Linked DNA regions of Yarrowia lipolytica. The protein of the gene in region 1 binds, or shares a complex with, the protein of each later gene. Links are inferred from orthologs where the notes say so. Each region holds a gene or a part of one and is shown on either strand. Other genes may lie near its edges.

What was found. Proteins that work in one complex are often made in the same cells at the same time.
Region 2: YALI1_D10033g (region 1) and YALI1_D08285g share a complex: the UniProt entries of both Saccharomyces cerevisiae proteins name them as parts of the RNA polymerase III (Pol III) complex. The link is inferred for Yarrowia lipolytica from reciprocal best matches to the Saccharomyces cerevisiae genes RPC31 and RPB5.

Annotation. Positions count from the first base shown.
Region 1 is NC_090773.1:1,001,414-1,004,612, reverse strand, and holds YALI1_D10033g (uncharacterized protein), read right to left. Parts: upstream 1,244-3,199; coding exon 545-1,243; downstream 1-544. Other genes in the region: YALI1_D10067g (uncharacterized protein), read left to right, coding at 1-165; YALI1_D10022g (uncharacterized protein), read right to left, coding at 1,902-2,315. UniProt on the Saccharomyces cerevisiae protein: DNA-dependent RNA polymerase catalyzes the transcription of DNA into RNA using the four ribonucleoside triphosphates as substrates. Specific peripheric component of RNA polymerase III which synthesizes small RNAs, such as 5S rRNA and tRNAs.
Region 2 is NC_090773.1:827,039-829,869, forward strand, and holds YALI1_D08285g (uncharacterized protein), read left to right. Parts: upstream 1-1,548; coding exon 1,549-2,187; downstream 2,188-2,831. Other genes in the region: YALI1_D08251g (uncharacterized protein), read left to right, coding at 1-584. UniProt on the Saccharomyces cerevisiae protein: DNA-dependent RNA polymerases catalyze the transcription of DNA into RNA using the four ribonucleoside triphosphates as substrates.

The DNA.
Region 1 (3,199 bases):
GACTCTGTGTTCCATGCAGTTACTCAGAAGAAGAAGGTGAGTCGACCTCCTCCTCCTCAGGAAATGTATCGCAAGCCCCAGCTGCCTCCCAAGATTCCTCTCGGCATGACTCGAGATGAGTACTACGTAGCCGAGCCGGAGTATGATGGCTACCAGGGCTATTAAGCCAACTCATTACACACACACACACACACACACACACACACACACACACATTACACACTCAAGTGTCTCACATAACACGTGCTTTACACGTACTCATATTTGTATAGATAATCTACAGAACTTATTGTGTGGGCCGTACAGGTAGCTACGTTCTAGTTGGTTTATATACGGGTGGCTAAAGTAGACAACGCGTTGAGTATCGTAGCAATGCGTCTGTTCTAGTATAACGAGAAGCAGTGTACCAATGCTGTAGATACTGCTTTAGCTATAGATACTGCTCTCTCTCGCTACGTCGAAAGTGAAATACTCATCTTCAATTAATAATCTATAAAACAGGGGGCGTATTTTGTAGTTTTTTGGGTCTGGTTCAGTTCAGATCCTAAAAGTTGGCCTCGTCGTCATCTCCATCATCATCATCTTCATCACCGTTATCGAAGTATCCCTCAGCATTGTAATCGTTATCATCTTCGTCATCGTAGACATCATCTTCAATCTCCTCCTCCTCAGAATCAGCTGCCTCCTGGCCCAGACGAGCCTCCAGCTCCTTGTCATCCACCATGGTCAGGGCCTGCTGGGCCTTGAGACGTGCCTCCAGCTCCACAGGCGACAGATCGGCTTCGTCCGCCTGGATCAGCGAGTTGGCAAACTTGGAAATACCCGCTCGACGACGCTTAACATCCTCTCCAGCCTCCTTCTTTGCTCCCATGGCCTCGTGAAGCTCCTGGGGGAACAGCTCCAGAATATACGGATGCTCATCTATCGACCGACCGACCTTTCGCTTCTTTCTGTACCGATCCGTGTATCGTCTGATGCCGTCATCACACGCATCGTCTACCTCGATGAGTATCCGTGACGCCTTTTTCTGTCCGTTCGGCCCCGTCTTGACCTCCACTGAGCCTGTGTACAGAGGTCCGTCTCTGACTTCAGCCTGGAACTTATAAAACTGTGCAGCCACCTCTCGCTCCGATGCGCTGGGTGGATCCTGAAGAGGCACGTTGGCCGGAGGGTATAGATCTGTGGGGACCATAGGACCAGTCTCGATTCCGAGCTGGTACATGGCTGGGCGTCTGAATGACATGCTGTGGTGTGTGATTAAAGGAAGCTGTGGTGTGGTTTAGAGCGAATCAAGTGATGATCGATCGCGTTTGTATGTTGCTGACGTGGTTGATGGTGTGTTTTTTTTTCTCTCTCTCGACTTGTTTGCCCTCTTTTGACACTCCCCAAAGTCGACCTTGCCTCAGATGGAAATAATTTTAGATTGGGAAAAAAATTGGACCTCGAAATGCATGCATGATAAGTTTAATGGTGTGAGTGCACACTGGACAGAGTGGAAGTCAAGTGGAGGGATGTGGATAGAATGGGCCATGGAAGAGGGGAAAGGGAACGGGATGGATGGATGGATGTGTTCCGAGGGCCCTTTGTAGGTAACCGACACCCCGAAAACCCCTATTGTGCCTTTCTACATGCTACATTCCTGCTTAGTCAAAATCATAACATTGCCATAGTATGTACAAGTACCTACAATACGATACTCGTGCAAAATACAACCAACACGATGTCTATACAAATATATTACTGAAATGTCAAGGGTACTGTTTTTATGGTTGGTGGAAGATGGTGTTTTTGAAGAGGTCTTACCGGGTTCTCCAGCTAGTGTAAGAGAACACGTCAGGTATCTCCTTGTATAAGAGGTCGAGTCCATTCATTTCCATTAACATCGCTCATGGACTCGATATTTACTCCTTCTTGTCGAAAATGTGGGCTTCCTCCTCGGGAACCAACAAATCGGCAATCTCCTCGTCACTCTCGTTGACCAGCTCCATCTCCTCCTGCTTGTCGATGGCAGACTGGAGCACCTTCTTCTGCTTGTTGGCTCGGGATCGAGCAGCGGTTCCCCAGCCAGATCCGGATCCAGAGGCGATACTGGAGGCCACCTTCTCATCTTCAGGTTCCTCGAGCTCGCCCTTGGCTCGGGCAGCTCGCGTCTTCTCCAGCTCTTCTCGCTCCCGCTTGATCATCTGCTTGGTCTGGTAGTTCTTCACCATTCCCATGATCCGCGGTCGCAGAAGAATGTAGCCGGCCACAATGATGAGGAACCGGATGTAGTCTGTGGTCGTGTAGTTGTTGAAAAATGTGATTTGGTTGAGCATGGTGTTGTTGGGGGACAAGTCAGGATGCGATATTTCTTTCACGATGCAGAGCGTAACCTATGTACGAAATCTAGGTTTTGGCGTTGTCCGTGTTTTTTTGCGTCGGATTTATCGGATTTACCACGAGTGTCGGACGAAATGTAGTTGGGGGTGAAGTTGCAGAAAAACAGACTGCTAATGTTGTTTTCCCGTGTCTACACTATTGATTCCACTTTTGTACAGCCCGAAATCTCCATTATTCGCAGACATAGACGGTGGATTATGGCATTCTCACCGTCTTGTTATGGACCTCTCTACAGGTACAGTACTGTAAATTAGACGTGAAACACTGCTACCAGTATCTAAACATCCTAATAACTGCTCAAGGTCAAAAGACAACATCGGAGCAACTAACTGAAACAGAGGCGACACTGGCTTCCTGACTGCCAGAAAAGAAAAGAAAACCAACACACCCTCCCTCTTATCATACTACAGGTACAAATACAACGTACTCGTACCGGTACTCGCATAGCACAACTCACCCAACTCATGCACCAGTTTTTTTCATCAACGTCGCATAAATCCGATGTGGGGTAGGGTCCACTCGATGAATGATATAGACGAGGTGGTCGATACTGGTATTGTGGCGTATTATATAAACATCGAGAACCGCTGCCGAACTCCACCACAGCGCTTCTCCTCGTCCTCGTACCAGTACTCTATGTGAAGGCATCTGCTGATGTGTTCGCTCCACTTAGCTACTTGTAGTACGAGCACCTATCCCACGATACTTGGGAACCATCGGTTGTACTTGGAGCTTATCCTGAGAGAACAGGCAGACCCTACAACACGAGTAGGTACCAGTACTACCCTAATTAGTGGAAGAACAAACGTCTATGTTTAAA
Region 2 (2,831 bases), about 170 kb from region 1:
TGGCCACTACCCGACCGTCTACTGCCGCCAACGCTGCTGCCGCCTCTTCTGCTGCTGCCGATGTGCCTCCTCCCAACCTGGAAGCCATTACTGCAACTACACGGGCCAAGTATGCGTCTTCAAGCGACGCCTCTCTGCTCAAGCCACCATCCCTCCCCAAGCTCGAGATCCCCAATGTCGTGGTTATCATTTCGCAATACAATTCTGACTTTGGCGAAAACATGGACTTGGTGTGTGAGCAGCGCGACAAGTTTGAGAGTCATTACAACGACCTGCCCGATTGGGTGGTAAATTTGCTTCTGTTCAACCAGATTCCACACAAGGATCCCGTCAAGGTGAACTTCACGCTGACACCGGAGCACGAGAAGGATGCCATCAACCCCCCTAGACTCAGTGCGTACCGAATGCTGCGTATTAAGAGGATTACTAATTACATTAGCGATCATCTGGCGTCTAGACCTAATCCTGAAACCATTGAGTTGTCCTGTCAGGGCCGTGTTCTGGGACCTAAGGAGACGTTGGCCAGTGTGAGAAGCCTGTGGAAGACGGGAGGAGACGTGGTTATCAATTATCGTTTTGTGTAATTCAGTGTGTGCGTGGATTACTAGGTGATCGCCGAGCAACACTGAGCAGCACTGAGTGGGTGAGCATTTTGCTGAGTCGACAGGCCAGTGTGTTGCCTACGTTCATAGATTCTTACAGCTGTACCAAGTGCAGCTCATCGGGACAGTATTAGCCCGTTTATTTAATGCATTTTGAGGAATGACTGGGTTGGAGATGAGTAAACTGCTGCTGTGGGTTTGCCACGTCCAGAGTATGTATTCCATAGCCATTATTATATTCGTTGTCTTAAGAAGCACACAAGATAAACATGGACCGATTGATGGTGCTGTCTGGACAGCTTCGTTTCCTTGGTTCCTATGGCGACGATTAGGAAGCGGCTTTAGGTGAAGCTCGACTTTTCAGTTAACAAACTTTCAACTAATGTCAGTTCTTAGATATTCCCAAAAAGCAGTTTTACAGCTAGTTTCTCTACATAAAGGAGAGCTTTTGCTTAATAAGATGAATATGTGGCAGATTTTATTCCAAATTATATATTCGCCATCACTCTAGCTGCTCTGGAACACCGATTTTGCCCCCCTAGTCTACATTTTCCTTTAACTAATTTCTAAGTAACAGAAGCACTGATGGTGAATTTGACTCTACTGAGTGCCTGTAAGGGTATGTGACCAAGGAAGCAACGATTCAGCTGAAATTCAACTGGTTAATATATCTGCGTTGGAGAAGAGACATATGACAAAAACAGCAAGTCTCTGGTGTTTCCCACACTCAAACCTCCCCACAATATAATTTGCGTTGTTGGCGGATCGAACTGACAACCTTCCCCTCACGCACACACACACACACACCCAACTCCTCCTATTAACCTCGGGCCCTAACCCCGCTAGTGACGAAAATATGCAGTGTGCAAAAAAATGAGTGCACGCCTTTGCAAACCGTCTGGTCACATCACCAACACATCTATTCGCACCACTCACATCAATCGACATGTCATCGGACGACGCACAGAAGCTTTGGAAAGTGTACCGAACGGCCAAGGAGCTGGTCAAGGACCGGGGCTACACCATCACCGACAAGGAGGTGAATCTGTCCTTCGACCAGTTTGTGTCGGAGATGTGTGATCCCATGGGCAAGCCCATCAAGAAGAAAATGTGTTTCATGGCGTCTCCCTCGCCCGAAGCCATCGAAAAGTTCCCCGAAATGGGCAACATTTGGGTCGAGTTCTGTGAGGAGGCCAGTGTGACGGTCAAGACGATGCGAAACTTTTGCATCCACATTTCGGAAAACAAGTTTGCCACGGGTATCCTGGTGTACGAAAACAACATGACTCCGTCCGCCAACCGACTCATCCCTTCGGTTGCTCCCGCCACCATCGACACCTTCCAGGAGACCGATCTGCTGGTCAACATCACCAAGCACGTTCTGGTGCCCACTCACATCAAGCTGTCTGGCGCAGAGAAGAAGTTTCTGCTGGAACGGTACCGACTGAAGGAGTCGCAGCTGCCCCGAATCCAGCGGGAGGACCCTGTTGCGCGGTACCTAGGTCTGCGACGAGGCCAGATTGTCAAGATTATCCGACGGTCGGAGACCTCTGGACGGTACGCCAGTTACCGAATTTGTCTCTAAGCGGAGGGAGCCACGCGACTTTTGCTTAGCATTCGATGCTGCCTTCTACCGCTTGCATCGACTCTGCTGGTTGAACAGACTTACATATGGCGCTATCAGGTATTTCAGACGGTTCATGGAACACGGAATAGGAAACGGCATGGAGGATCATGGAGGAAGAAGAGCCTCAAATAGATTAATTATTGTACTTTAGATGTTGGTGGTGGGGGTGGAGGTGTGGAAGGGTGCTGACGGTTGATACAGATGTAGGGAGATGTGCCAGTCACTAGTATGGTATAAGAGAGACCAGGTTGTCTTTGTGGTTGTTCTAGACCGTGGCCGAAAGGGGCTCAGATAGATGCTGCCACTACCCTCAGCAGAAGAGAAGGTAATTGTATCACAGCAGCAACGGCTCCGTTGAGTGGCTATCAGGGAGGTAGCCAGCTGACTTTGTGGTCTCCAGTACGAGGAATGTACTGAAGAGGTAGCTGCTCTTATGGACCTAGCTACTTTGTAGCTCCTTTTTGATCTGATTTTCTTCAATTACCAATATGCAACAACAGTTAAGGGAGAGAGACTGTTATATCCTGTTGGTCGTGCCTGCTCGTCGGGCGCCGCACTCGCTCGTTGCACCTGAATCAATGAGAATGTAGTCTGCCAACTGA